Linked DNA regions of Caenorhabditis elegans. The protein of the gene in region 2 purifies or fractionates together with the protein of the main gene of each other region. This does not show direct contact. Each region holds a gene or a part of one and is shown on either strand. Other genes may lie near its edges.

The links. Proteins that work in one complex are often made in the same cells at the same time.
Region 1: the proteins of emb-1 (region 2) and gfi-3 purify together in Caenorhabditis elegans (affinity purification with mass spectrometry, with the first as the bait; one study listed by BioGRID). This does not show direct contact.

The regions. Positions count from the first base shown.
Region 1 is NC_003284.9:14,477,331-14,485,882, reverse strand, and holds gfi-3 (Protein gfi-3), read right to left. Parts: upstream 5,312-8,552; 5' UTR 5,310-5,311; coding exon 5,199-5,309; intron 5,149-5,198; coding exon 5,048-5,148; intron 4,998-5,047; coding exon 4,875-4,997; intron 4,686-4,874; coding exon 4,496-4,685; intron 4,447-4,495; coding exon 4,355-4,446; intron 4,313-4,354; coding exon 4,216-4,312; intron 3,872-4,215; coding exon 3,693-3,871; intron 3,634-3,692; coding exon 3,517-3,633; intron 3,472-3,516; coding exon 3,329-3,471; intron 3,266-3,328; coding exon 3,202-3,265; intron 3,148-3,201; coding exon 3,016-3,147; intron 2,970-3,015; coding exon 2,859-2,969; intron 2,813-2,858; coding exon 2,698-2,812; intron 2,607-2,697; coding exon 2,362-2,606; intron 2,311-2,361; coding exon 2,070-2,310; intron 1,753-2,069; coding exon 1,411-1,752; 3' UTR 1,181-1,410; downstream 1-1,180. Other genes in the region: M163.8 (ShKT domain-containing protein), read right to left, coding at 1-323, 383-462; M163.11 (ShKT domain-containing protein), read right to left, coding at 5,627-5,723, 5,774-5,941, 5,986-6,372, 6,432-6,505. UniProt on the Caenorhabditis elegans protein: Probable component of the anaphase promoting complex/cyclosome (APC/C), a cell cycle-regulated E3 ubiquitin ligase that controls progression through mitosis and the G1 phase of the cell cycle.
Region 2 is NC_003281.10:5,170,153-5,176,416, reverse strand, and holds emb-1 (Anaphase-promoting complex subunit emb-1), read right to left. Parts: upstream 2,979-6,264; 5' UTR 2,972-2,978; coding exon 2,840-2,971; intron 2,771-2,839; coding exon 2,657-2,770; 3' UTR 2,608-2,656; downstream 1-2,607. Other genes in the region: cid-1 (4Fe-4S ferredoxin-type domain-containing protein), read right to left, coding at 1-785, 948-1,255, 1,306-1,468, 1,589-2,046, 2,344-2,425; K10D2.5 (uncharacterized protein), read right to left, coding at 3,181-3,318, 3,365-3,457, 3,502-3,627; prp-19 (Pre-mRNA-processing factor 19), read left to right, coding at 4,375-4,527, 4,624-5,362, 5,426-5,808, 5,858-6,061. UniProt on the Caenorhabditis elegans protein: Probable component of the anaphase promoting complex/cyclosome (APC/C), a cell cycle-regulated E3 ubiquitin ligase that controls progression through mitosis and the G1 phase of the cell cycle.

The DNA of each region.
Region 1 (8,552 bases), on a different chromosome or scaffold from region 2:
TGGTAGCAGTTGCTGCTGTGGTTGATGCTGCAACTCCAGAAGAAGTTTCCACAGAAGCGCCACCACAAAGGTTGCAAGTGGCTCCGCAGTATTGGCTTTTTTGAGCAGGAGTGTAGAAAGTGGAGTTGCAGAACCCATTTGAAGCCCAGCTTGCACAATTACTGTTGCTATCCCCGCAGGTTGAAGAAGACGAAGAAGCCGAAGAGGAAGTTGTGCTACTAGCACCCGAACAAAGCCTACAGGACGCAGGGCAGTATTCGGTTTTTTGAGCATCAGAGTAAAATGATGAGGTGCAGAATCCGTTGGATACCCAGTTAGCGCAGCTGGAAAATTATCAATTCCAGCAGTGATAAAAAATTGCAAATGCTGAATTTTTACTTACTTTGGGTTAACATCCATGCACATTTCTACGGTAGAGAAGATGATAAGAACAGCCAAGACGCACAAAGAAGTAGATGACATTTTTGATTTAATTCAAAAACTGAATGTGTTCTGACAATGCGTTCTGATAGAATGCCTTTTATAAAACTGTTTTACGTTTGTTCAGCTTTTCCAAAAAGTTAGTTGATCCATTAAAGTGCCAAATCGGTGGGATCATCAGGTGTTTGATCCTAACAGTATCCATTTTCAAAAACGATGTTTGCATTTGTTATAACGGATATGGAAAGTTAGCAAAATTAATCATTATGTACACATATCCTATTTGAGTTGTCATGAGTAACTGGAGTGATGCTTTCAGTTGGCATTGTTTCACTGCAAATACGGAATTTTCACCCAAAATAGGAATTTTGCGGGGGTGGGGTTTTCAGTAGCCGGTTAATTTTTAATTTTTTTACTAATCTTTAAAAAAACGTTTGATTCAATGAGGTCACGCTTTAAAACAACAAATAAGTTTGGCTAGCAATAAATTTACATGAGAACATGTAAAACATCCAATAACAAAGTAATCCTTTCTATTCTTCGTAATTTCCTATAATTAATCACTTTCGATAATGATTCAATTTAATTTAAAAAAAAATAGACATCTCATTGCTATTAAAAAACTTGCACAACACGTTTTTGCTACAGTTGTAAATGTATTTTAGCTACCAGAAATATGTTTTCTGACATTTGGTAAGAAGCATTCAAACTGCACAAATGGTATCTGCAATAAAATAAAATCAAAAAAATTGCAATAAAACATTCCTTTTCAATTTTTTTTCCAATTTTTCAAAAGCAATTTTTTTACAAAAAGTTCATAAATTCAAAATCAAATAGAGCAAGAAAGACTCGTAAAAATACACTGTGAAGCTCATAAACCTGTTTGAGTTTTGAAACAAGATCGTTGAATGTAAGAACAGACGGGGGTCTTTGGGATTGGATAATGAAGCACTTTAAAAGTGTGTACAAGAATATTGGTTTGAAACATCATCAGATGAGGAGCCATTCGCATCGGCCGGGACAATCAGCAGTCAGTTTACCAAATTGCTCACAAATCTGCGACAGACGATTTTCATCAGGCATCAGTCCTTTGACGTCATGAAGAGCAGCAATTTCGGAGAGGACGAGCTTGGTAAACGCCGGCCATTGCCCGTTGCGGACCAGGGCACGGGATTTTTTCAACCACATCCGCGGATCTTTCCCTAGCAATCGATGACATCTGGCCGCTGTCATGTAGTAGCACGCCTTCTCGGTAAATGATCCAAACTGTTCAATGCCTTCATTGCATTCTTTCAAAAGTTTCAGACATTCGACATACTGACCATGGCACATCTGTAAATTTAGATTCTAAAAATTGTTTTTCATTTGATAAATGCGATGTTCTCAGAAAACGTTTATTTTATCTAACTAGTAAGCGAGTATAGTCTGACATATCTGGTGACATCTATAAAAAATACAATACCTTATGTTTTCAAACATCTCACTTCAAACAATTTTTAAGGCTGAATAAAAAATAATTTTCGGAGTGCAGCGCAAAATTTACGGATTCAAAACCCTAACGACAGTGCTCCACTTTGTAGATTCTTCAGTGAAATATCAAGATGGCGTAAAAAAATTCATGCAATTTTTTCTTTACATAAAATGCTTACCAGCATAGTTGCTTGTCTTCTCTTGACCATTGGCACAATGTCCTTCAGTGTGGTGTTCTCAGCAAGACTCAAGGCGTCTGCAAATTCTCTTGCAGCTTTTCTAAATTCTTGACTAGCCGTGTAAATGCATCCTGTTTGCATGTGAATTCGAATTCTTCCACGAATGTCCACAACGTTCAATCCCTCCAACACTTCAACACTTGCCCGTTCTTTTCCGGCTGCGGCGAGGAGAAGAGCTTGTCTAAAAAAATTATAGAAATTAAATGAGGTAATACTTTCAATTGCAACTCACCGAAGCTTGCATTCTAGTTCAGAGTGTGCTGCGAGATTCAAAACTTCAGAAGCACAAGCCTTGTAGTCATTTTTCAATAAGAATCTTTCAAAGTTGATGACAGCTGCACAAATGACAACGTGACGGTTGGACTGCCAAGAAAGTTCTTCCGGATAATTTTGTCGCATTTCCTCAATAGTTCTTAGTGCCGCGTCGTAGTTTCCGACTCCAGCTTGTGAATAAGATAGGTTTACCGCACCAATTGCCTGAAAATTGATACATCATACTTGAATTTCATTAGATACATATAAATTTTGCACCAATTTATTATTTGTCACAGTTCTAACTTGTACTTACCCAAGGTTCGGCCTGAAAAGGAGCCTGGAAGGGGTCTGTTTCATCGGTTCTGCAATTGTTTGCCAGCATGTTTTCTGCGGCGCACTTTGCTTGATGATACATTCCATTATGAATCCTGAAATTCAGAATGGTTTCTAGGCCATTTGCAACGAGCTACTTACATGTTACTAGATATCAGAGCAGCTCCATAAGCAGCCACTTTTCGTCCTCGTTCTCCAAGATCATTACCGACTGGACACGTTATTCCGGTTTCCGCAACTCTGTCGTAGATCCTGTAAATTTGGAAAGTTAAAGCGACGTCTCTGATTGAATGCTCACAGCTTATAGTTTCCTTCTGCAATGATCTTCATCAACATGAGCATTTTTCCATATGAGTCCATCTCTGCGACAAGCTCAAAATCTTCTTCAGAACTTAGACAGCAAGGCCCGGATCGCGTATGTCCGTGAAGACTGAAATGTACTAATTAGTTTTATGACTCTATACTAGTAGATAATCCAACTTACTCGTCTATGTGCAGCAAGGCTTTTCTCTGAACTCGCCGTTCATTTTCAATGTGCTTAGCGGTTTCTGCAAATTTGATTTGTTGTTGTCTTAGTTCTTATTGATTCAAAAAATAATAGACGAGCTCACTTTCATTGTTATCCTCAAGCAGCGCCCTGCATCCCAATATGTCGACAGTGTGCATTTCGATGTTGGCCATTTGATGGCAAATCTCATCATTTCGGAGCTGGGCTTGTTGGAGACTCTCGTGGAGCAGGAGACGAGCCATTTGGCTGGAAAATGAGAATATTTATGTACTCTTTATTGATATATCTTACTAGTCTCCAAATATTCTGCAAATTCTGGCTTGAAGAATCGGTGCATACATCAACGGGGTTTGAGTTGGAACTGCCAATCGATGCGTTTTTGCGGCATGCACCATGTTCTCATTTAGTCTGAAAATTATTTTTTTTGTTCTTAAACCTCGGTGGCGGTATAACGGTATAACACTTACTCAAACATGGACAACTCGAAAAACGATTTCATTGCCTTAATAGCCGACGAGCTATCTTTCAATTGAACTTGCACAATGGCCTCTAGCAGGAACCCTTCAACAACGTCCGGGTGTCGCTTCTGTACGATCCGGGTGTAGTGAAGCATCTCGTTATATTGGAAGGCAAAACGTGGGTTCTTCTGTAAAAACATGGAAACATTATTACTTTTCTTTTGTCAGTTTCAAACAGAGCTCCCAGCTGAGTGAGGCGCAAAATCCGGGCCTCACGCCGTCGCCGCGCGCCGCTGTGTGTGTGAAATGAAGTTCGAGAGGTAGTCATTCAAAGCGGCCGACACGTTCGGGGTTCCGCAGCTCAGCGTGAAATGAGTAGCATGGTGTGTGCGCAACGTAGTGTGAAAAGGTGGTGGGCTGGAAGCGGCCGACACGTTCGGAGGTCTGCGCTTCACTGTACATGCGGCGAGGGTGACGACGTGAGGCTGGCTCGGCGACCGCATGGGAGTTTTAGTTTCAAATAGTATCTCACCTGAATGAAGTAAATGCTCTTAGCAACCCAATCCCTTGCTCTGACAGAACAGTCGATGAAGTGTGGAAGATACTCTCCCTTGAACTCGGGATGATATCTGCAAAAGTTTCGGTATTTTTAGCAAAGCTTCGTCACTTACTTTGATTCAACAGCAGACAAAACCCATGATTTCATGGCTGCATTTATCTGGAACACTTCTGAAGGAGTTGACTTGGTGTATTGTGCCAGGAGCTGAAATATAATCAAACTGAAACAAATTTTTTCGATTGAAAAATCATACTCGTTTCATCCATCTGTACATAAACGAGTGATTGGAAGAAAACTGGATAATGTCTCCGCGCGCCAAGTCCATAGCTTCATGTACAGTGTCATTTGCTGGCAATTTCGGATCCTTTGGGTGCTTGTTGGTGTAGAACTCATCTTCAACGTTAAGAGTAACATCCGCCATTCCGGCGCCAATTTTCTCCATACTGAAAGAATGGAGAGATGCCAGCGGATTGTTTTGTATTATTGATTATGCTTATAATGCTCCAGAAAATCGAGCTAAGAAACATTATTGCATTTAATTTATTGTCGAATTGTTTGACTAGTTTTTATAATAGTTTACAATAAATTATAATGTTTTTTTAATTGTATAAAATGAAAATCGTTTGACTTACGCTGCATAAAAGTTTTTACAAACTTCACGGCCGTCATCAAATGCAAGTCGAGTGACAATTCTGAAGTCCTTATAAGAAAGCTCCACGACTGACGTCATCAATGCATACAGCCAATGGAAGATTCTAAAACATGAATTTGGTTTCTTTTTTTAAAATTTTTCCAAACTACTTACCGTTCTTTTTCGGCGGGGCTAAATGGTTTGTAGTAAGCACGTTTGTGACGGAATCCAAAGTGTGTTTGAAAAAGAATGCGAAGAAGGTAGAACGTTGCAATCTTAAGTAAATTTTTAGTACTTTGAAGGTTTTCTAAACTAAAAAACTTACTTTTGTTGGAGTCACTGGCTCTCCTGTCAAATTTGAGAAGACATGGCCGAAAATTGCATCCAAGTTGAGATAACTCCGTTTGATGATGGGCCGCGGCGCCGCTTTCTGCATTTCTGGAAAAAAAATATATAAAAACCTTGTTTTTTAAAGGTAATACTAGAAAATAGACGACTAAAATTCAAAAAAATGAAGAGGGATCGGTGCAGGTCGGTGGCTGCAGGCGCATTATTGGTTTGCTGGCGTGTTTCTCGTGGAGGAGGGGCGGGCGGGAGGACACACCATGTAGCAGAGAAAACTCTCTTATTTTGTGCACTCTCTCATCGGTATGGCCCGTTCTCAAACAACACACAACAGATATTATGAAGACATGGTTTTGATATGCATTCAGTTTACTAGAGACAAACTACAATAAAAGAGGAACGATGAAATTAGCATAATCCGCAAGTTTTAGCACAGTAGAGTTCACGTTGAGCATCTGTGTAGAAGCTGTTAGTGCAGAAGCCGTTGGCCGCCCAAGATGAGCATCTGAAAGTTCAACTTGTTTTAGGCTAGTCAGTAGAATTGATTGATCTTACGATGAAGCTGAATCTGTGCAACTAGATGATGTAGAAGCGGTAGAGCTCGACGAAGAAGAGTCACTGGAAGAAGAGCACAGAGAGCAGGTAGCTGCACAGTACTGAGTTTTGATAGCAGTAGTGTAGAAGGAAGAAGTGCAAAATCCATTAGCAGCCCAGGAAGTACATCTAGAAGGTTTTTATTTTGCAAGTGGCAAATAATCAAGTCTTACGTGGAAAAAGAATCTACACATGTGGTAGTGGTTGAGGAAGATGTAGAAGATACGACAGATGTGGAATCTGAGGATGAAGTGGATGATGAAGAATTGGAAGAGGTTGTTGAAGAATCAGAGGATGTAGTAGAAGAACTGTCAGCTGTTGTTGTGTCTGAAGAAGATGTTGAAGACGCGGAGCTGGAAGATGATGAAGAAGATGAAGAAGAATCATCACTGGACGTTGCAGCTGTGGACGAAGAAGAACTTGTAGAAGCAGTGGACGATGAAGAGCTAGAATCTGAAGAATCAGAGCACAAAGAGCAGGTTGATGCGCAGTATTGGGTTTTCTGAGCGGTAGTGTAGAATGTAGAGGTGCAAAACCCATTGGCAACCCAGTTCGCGCAGCTGGAAGAAAAAAAAATGAAATTTCAAATTTCAAACTGAATAAATAATCTGTAACTTACTTTGAAGCCGAGTCGGAGCACATTTCAGCGCTTGAAACAAAGAAAACAATTGTTAAAACGAAGAAGGTGTTCATGGTAGTGAGAGTTGAAAGTTGAATGTTCTGTGGGCCCTCACTGGCTAACTTTTATCCGATCTGTTTCCTGTTTGAACAACTGTCACAACGTTTTGACCCCTAATAAGCATTGGCACCTAGAGGAGGAACTATTAATGAATACATAGGTCTATAACAAGTTGCGCTCGATCATATGAATCATAAAGTTGCTGATCTTAAAAAGACAAATGAATTTTTATTTCTGAACTATGTTTTAATGAAATCAGCCAATAATAATTATTATTACAGTTAAAATTTTAATCGGTGAAAACTATTTCATTTTCCCATTGATATTACACCAGCAAACCTGCGTCTGCAAATGATGAAGGTCAAACGCCACATGCTACGTTTTCTTGATAACGATATCATTTTTCACTATTTATTTTTTTCAATCATCTTCAAATTTCGCGGCCCGGTTAGCTCAGTCGGTAGAGCACCAGACTCTTAATCTGGTTGTCGCGGGTTCGAGCCCCGCATTGGGCTTATCCTTTTGTAGAATTCGGATATTCTGTTCAAACATCTCGCCTGATAATTTAAACCTTTAAACTTAACTTTCTTAACCCAGCAATATTAATCATATCGTCGATATGAGAAACAACCCAATTTTGTAAATCTGCGGCAAAATTTATGCTTAATATGGATTCTGTTTCACTTTTTTTAAAATTAGAAACAGAAAATGGGTACTTTTGAAAACAACGTTTACGTCTTTCTGAACTTCTTATTATTATAATTTTCAAATATATCCTATTATTATAATGTATGCTTCAAATCTTAACTTTAAAAAACTTTATTTTGGTTTCTTTAAACTCAATTTTGCTCCAAAGTTTTCAAAAATATCAGTCAAGTTGGTGCCAATGGGAAGTTCCCTGAAGTGGGAATAGGAATGATAACCTATTGGCGCCGGACCGATATATAATATTTTTGAACAACTGCTCAGAGTGCGGGGAGCTTACATACTATGAGGAATTAATGCAGCGGACATTTATGCGTGTTTGGCGTTTGAGATGTGTTTCGCAATATGAGATAGGGAGAATTAATTTTCTTTTTTTAAAGTTGAGTTAAATAACTAATTGAATTTATTTATGACAAAAATAATATGCGAATGGCTAAACTGTTTTGTTTTCAGATGAACTGCCGTTTGGATTTTCAAGCAGTAAAAGAAAATGTGATGTTATGTAAAAATATTAATATTGTTATTGTTCAATACTCTGAATGTGGTTGATATTTATCTGAATGCGAAATTTGAAAAAATAACGGTCAAGTTAATGCCGATATGCTGAGCACAAATAAATGATGAGCACAAATAATAAAAATAATAGCCCAAAAACACCAAAGTAATATACATGGGTAATCGTAAACAAATAATGTTCTGAAAAAGATGCATAGAGTCTTTTTATTTTATAGTAAGAACTGTTAGTTTATAAATAATGTATTTCGCATTTTTAAATATATATCTCCAATTTTAAAACTAGTGAACAAAAATCATGTTATTTTAATGTATCCCATAATTTTTTCCGGAAATGTTAAAATTAACGGTCAAGAATGATAACTGACAGACGCTGCACCAACAAACGAGTCGGTGATTACTTGTTAAAGTTTGAAGTTGTACCTAAAGTATATATCACTTCAAGTAGCATTTTGTTCCGTTTCAGGTTTTTTAAACCATAAAACCAAACTGCTGGAGTAGAGTCCGATTTATTTGTAATTCACTATTGTGTTTTACAGAAAAATTTCAAAAGCAACGGTCAAGTTGGTGCCGATGAGAAATTCCCGAAGGGAGGCAAACTTGATAACCCACTGACGCCGGACCGATACATACTTCGGTGATTGTAGGCTGTTTATATACCAAGGGAGAGTGAGGCGGCAGACATTTTTCGTGCAATGGCAGATAGTTCTGTTAAACTGTGTTTCGCAATTTTCAAAAATCTATAATATTAGATAAGCGTTCTGCAACTTGCAGTACGTAGTACTTCCAACGCTTCAGAAATTGTAAAATTATAATACGGAAGTACTCCTATTCATTTCACAA
Region 2 (6,264 bases):
TGTGTAATTTGGATGACTACGTCCCGATGTCGTTCAACATAATACCGAAAGAAGCCAATGAAGAGCTCAGCTAGATTCCAAGATTTCTTCAAGTCGAACTTCGTACCAATCTTTTCAGTATTCTTCTCATATCGAGACATCAATCTCATTCTACGTTGCCCAGCTTCTTCCGATTGAAGTTTTGCTGTCTTTTCAGCACTCATTTCTTCAATTTTCTCAGTTTCTGGACCTGCTTCAAAAAGTTCATGAAGTACTGGAAGGCATCCGATCTGCTGAAGAAAATGAATGGCCATTATATCAAATCCATATCGAGGAAGTCCGATTCTAGGCTTATTTTTGGAGTCAAGGCCAGCTTTCGTTGCCCAAAGACGAATAAGTTGAAGAAATTGAGCAACTTCCTCTCGTAAATTTACATAGGTCTTCATCAATTCAGAAAAATGAAGTTGTATACGATGATTGAAACATGACATCCAACAAAGTTTAACTCGAACTCCTTTGAATGTAAATATAATTGTTGACGGTGTTCCCATTTCCATGGAATGATCAGCTGGATGTCCATCATCGGCAATCTTCTTTCGAACTTGTTCAAGTAATGCAAATATTGGAGTTCCTTCAGGAATTGACATAGTATATGCCACATTGTAATCACTATCCGGAAGTGTGACGTCATATGTTACAGATCCAAATGGTCGAAGTATCACATCTTGCAATCCAATCGATGGGAATACTGTAGTACTCAAGTAATAGATGATTGTTTCACCGATCTCGATTCCATTTTGACGAACCTGAAAATACTTGACGAGAGAAGGGTTAGTTGAGAGAAAAATGATCGAAACCGGATAGAAAAAACGAAATTTTATTTCTGAATTTCAGCTTTTTAGAGAAAAATCACAATTTATCCTCCGTTAATTTCGTTTTTTTCCAATCCAGTTTCAAGATAATCTAACCTGTTGATACGATTTCAATGTTCCTTCCAAAACTTTTTCAACACTCTCTAAATGTGCTTCAGTCGGAGGTGGAATAATTTTCAAAAGATGCTCCCGTTGTTCCTGTCGCTTAACATCATCAAAATGTGTACTGCTCTCTAAGTGTGCTTTTGCGTGTCCGATTGTATTAATATGATAATCGCACTTTTCGCAATAGTATATGGCCTCTGGGAACGCTTCTAGACGATCGACAAGTTTCTTGATCAAACAAGAAGTCAGAAATCCCTCAGAACACTTTGAGAATGGAAATCTGTCGGATGAAGACTTTGCTGAAACTGTTGAGAAACAGTGAAATGAAATCGGAAAACTCAGTTCAAACCTTTCAAGAGATTCTCAATAGTTTCCCTGCAAGATTTTCTGATCGTCTTTTCATCTGCATCCAATTTCAACAGAGCTCCAGTTGTGATATTGTCATCTCCATGTTGTAATTTTACTTTGATGAATAGTCCATTGCACTTGCTCGTAGTTGGAGTAATCAACAGCTAAAAACTTGACTTTTAAAAATTAATTTCATACATTTTTTTGCTATTTTAAAGTTTAAAGTACGAATTTTGTTCTATTGGAATACAGCGAATGATTTTAATTTTTTATTCACAACTAACCGTAAAATTGTTATCAATTTGAATAGGTACATTCTTTTCCAACGGAAATGAGCTCATTGGATACTGGACAGTCTCTTGAAATGTTTGAGCCGACACGGCTGACCCGGCATTTTTGGAGAAATAATACTCTTGCGTCTGTTTTTTGTTGGCTTCTGCTTGTCGTCCAGCAACATTAATCGTTGTTTTCTCTGGAGTAGTAGGATTTGAATTCCATCCTTTCAATGAAGCTCCCGAATCGCCCAATTCAACAGCCATCAATGGTTGTACAGCGGCAACCAAGGGTCCTGGTGGCGCATTCCGATTTATTGGAGATGTTGGCTGAGAATCCTGATTTCGTTTCAGAATTGTGACTTTTTGAGGAACGATGTTCATTGGAGGACGATTTTGCGATGGATTTCTGCTCGTCTTTTGGGAGGAGGAAGCCGAATCAGCTGGACTGTTTGATGATCTTTTCCGGCCTGTAAGTTCAATGTTAGTTCAATATGAAAATTAAGAAAAAATGAAGAACACTCTGTTCGAAAATTGCTATAAAGTTTTCACTTTGTTTGATAAGAAAGTTGATAAATAAATAAAAGTGGCGTTTCTGCTAAAACTGTTCAATAACTTCAGGATTGATAAGGAAAAAGTTATAGTAGAGAGTGAATCAACGGTATTTTTGAATACTAAGAACAGTAAAACCTCAATCTTTAAGCAATACGAAGGGCCTAATATACTTCATTGTATGAATTTTTAAAAATGATTAGTCATGAACTCACCACTATTCTGGCTATTTCCTCCCCTTCCACCTCCAAGGGCTCCTCCTCTCCGCCTACTTCCAGACCTTTGCTCATCGGTCATCTCACAACTCTTTTTAATAATTACAGTACAATATTAATACCTATTATTCGGTTCGTCTTTCCCAATGAAACTGAAAAGAAGCGATTGAATAAAATCTGGAATAATTTGAGAACAAAATATTAAATTAGGTAATAACGAGGTCAGTACCTCGGAAATGAATTCCATAATTAAAAAAAATGGTATGCCAAATCGAGTTTTATTTACAGATAAATATGGTGTAGAATAGGGAATTCAAGGATTTGCAGGCATATTTGCTGCTGCATGGACAGCGTTCACATGACGTTGATCTTCACGAGTCAGAATAGCCACACTGTCTTGCAAGTGACGCAGAAGATCTTGATTATCCTGCAATAAATTTAGAATGAACAACAATGTACTTTTTCAGAAAAGTGTGATTTTGAAATAAAAACGTACCCATTGAGCTTGACGGTGCTCACAAATCGTGGTGATGAATGACTCTTTTGCTGGTGAGACTTCGGAAACCCACAAGTGCTCGGACCAGTTGAGTGGAGGTTGTGCTACGTGGAATGGGTACATCAAAGCCATACTTGATCTGTAAACGTGGTTTTTTGAATCAAAGTCATCTAAAAAACGGGCAAAAGTAAAATGAAGGTTGTTTCAGCCTATAATAATAAGAGATGTAAAAAGCAATGTATGAAAAAAAATAACCGTTTTATTTAACAACAAAAAAACACGATGTAACTGACACAACTTAAACAACCCGAAATTTGATCAAACTCCCGCTGAGATTTTAATTAATTCTTCAAAACGTGTCCGACGAATGGATATTTCCTAGCACAAATCGGTGCCCATTCAGGTCCACATCCTTCACTACTCTCGAAAAGATCGCGGTTGTTGTCATAGAGATCTTGTGAGCCAGAGAGGTCGTAAATCTGAAATAAACTTATTTTTTTGATAATCCGAAAAGTATTTTATTACTTTGTCTTCCACAATGACCAGGCACCTGTTCTCCTCGCGGCGCATGCTTTCGATTTCTTCCATTGTCATATCACGCTCTTCGAGCTGTTCGATCTGAGAAACAAAAATTCACATCCCAAGATTTATTTGCAAATTACCTCATATTTCGCTGGCTCATTGATTTTTGCAACAAGCATCCTTTTAACAATTTTATTCAAAGCCACGAGAAACACCACAAACACCGCAACATCGATGAAAGTGAGCTCATATTCCCCGATTTGCATTTTTTGGGAAGAAAATTCAAATCCAAATTATTTTTTCAAATCGTTTTTATTCCCCAGTCTCATGGCCGACATTTCTTCGGCCCCGCCCGGAAAAGCTGCAGCAAGTACGCTCCACTGCAGTTTTTCGAATTCTCATTGCATGGAATTCCTGAGACACCACGGTTTCAAGATCTGGTGGGATTCTCCGTTTTCCGGATCTACCATATCCGGATCTACGTTTTCCGGATCTACGTTTTCCGGATCTGGCACCGTGCCAACTCTTAAAACGCTATTTTTTCGAAGAAAAAAGTGACAACGACGCTGCGATGTTACGCGTCGCGTGTTCTTAAGCGTTTCTTCTAGAAGAAAATTTCGAAAAAAGTCGTGCGTTGAAAAGCGTTTTGTGCGTTGGCACGGTGCCAGATCCGGAAAACGTAGATCCGGAAAACGTAGATCCGGAAATGGTAGATCCGGAAAACGTAGATCCGGGATCCCATCAGATCTTGAAACCGTGGTGTCTCGAATTCCTTTGACTTGAAAACTTGCATTTTTTCATGAAAAACTGGTTAAAATTCTAGATTTTCTTTTAAAGACAAGTTTAAAACATTTGATCCAATGCGCCGTTCGATTAGTCACTAGCCAGAGTACGTATTTATTGACCACTCGTTCGATAAATGTAATTATCCTACAAAATTCGCATTGAAACTTTCTTCGTTTATGTCCCACGTCAATCAAGCGGTTTCGTGTATATTTTGCTACTTTCAGGAGATGTCTTTCGTGTGCGGAATCAGTGGTGAACTGACCGAAGACCCAGTCGTCTCTCAAGTCTCAGGGCACATCTTTGATCGTCGGCTGATCGTTAAATTCATTGCCGAAAACGGAACAGATCCGATCAGCCATGGAGAGCTTTCTGAAGACCAGGTTTGTCAACCTTGCAATTATCTTCACTGACGTGAAACTTCGAAATGATAATTCATTGAAAAAACAAAATAATAATTTCTAAAATTCATTTTTTAGCTCGTTTCATTGAAAAGTGGCGGCACTGGATCAGCACCACGCAATGTCTCTGGAACATCCATCCCATCTCTACTAAAAATGCTTCAAGACGAGTGGGATACAGTAATGCTCAACAGCTTCTCTCTCCGACAACAACTCCAAATTGCTCGTCAAGAACTTTCTCACTCTCTGTACCAACACGATGCCGCTTGTCGTGTTATTTCCCGCCTCTCCAAAGAATTGACCGCTGCTAGAGAAGCATTGTCTACTTTGAAACCACACACATCGGCGAAAGTTGACGATGATGTCAGCATTGACGAGTCTGAAGATCAACAAGGTCTTAGTGAGGCAATTCTGGCAAAACTTGAAGAGAAATCAAAGAGTCTGACTGCTGAACGTAAACAACGAGGAAAAAATCTTCCTGAAGGACTTGCCAAAACAGAAGAGCTCGCCGAGCTGAAACAGACAGCATCTCACACTGGAATTCATTCGACTGGAACTCCTGGAATTACTGCATTGGATATCAAGGGAAATTTGTCACTTACCGGAGGAATTGATAAAACCGTTGTCTTGTATGACTATGAAAAGGAACAGGTTATGCAAACATTCAAGGGGCATAACAAGAAGATCAACGCAGTTGTTTTGCATCCGGATAATATTACTGCAATCTCTGCTTCTGCTGATTCACATATTAGAGTCTGGAGTGCAACTGATTCGTCTTCGAAGGCTATTATTGATGTCCATCAGGCACCCGTTACAGGTGAGATATTTGAAAAAAATTCGCTAGCTGTAATTCTTCTATTGAACAAACAATGTTTTACAGATATCTCCCTCAATGCATCCGGTGATTACATTCTCTCCGCTTCTGATGATTCTTACTGGGCATTCTCCGACATTCGTTCCGGAAAATCGCTTTGCAAGGTTTCAGTTGAACCAGGATCACAAATTGCCGTTCATTCCATCGAGTTCCATCCTGATGGTCTTATTTTTGGAACTGGAGCTGCGGATGCCGTTGTGAAGATTTGGGATTTGAAGAATCAAACCGTGGCTGCTGCATTCCCGGGACATACTGCTGCCGTTCGTTCGATTGCGTTTTCTGAAAACGGATATTATTTGGCTACGGGATCAGAGGATGGAGAGGTCAAATTATGGGATCTTAGAAAATTGAAGAATCTGAAAACTTTCGCTAACGAAGAGAAACAACCGGTAAGAAATTGTTAAGCAAATGTTTAATGAAAAAATATAATTTTTTCAGATCAACTCCCTGTCCTTCGACATGACTGGAACATTCCTAGGAATTGGTGGCCAAAAAGTTCAAGTTTTGCATGTGAAGAGCTGGAGTGAAGTTGTATCACTTTCTGATCATTCTGGACCAGTCACTGGAGTTAGATTCGGAGAAAATGCTCGTTCATTGGTGACGTGTTCATTGGATAAGAGTCTCCGAGTATTCTCTTTCTAATTGTTTTTATTACCATTTATTACTAAGTTATTCAAAATTTCACCACATTTTTCCCGTTTCGTTTCCTTGTTTTTTTTGTATTCCGGATTGTTCAGTCAAGTTGAAAATATTCCCATCTATAGAAAAGCTGACAAACTATTATTCTTTCTCCATCTCTCGTTACCATATATTATCGATTCCAAAAATTCTCCTTTTCACTGTGA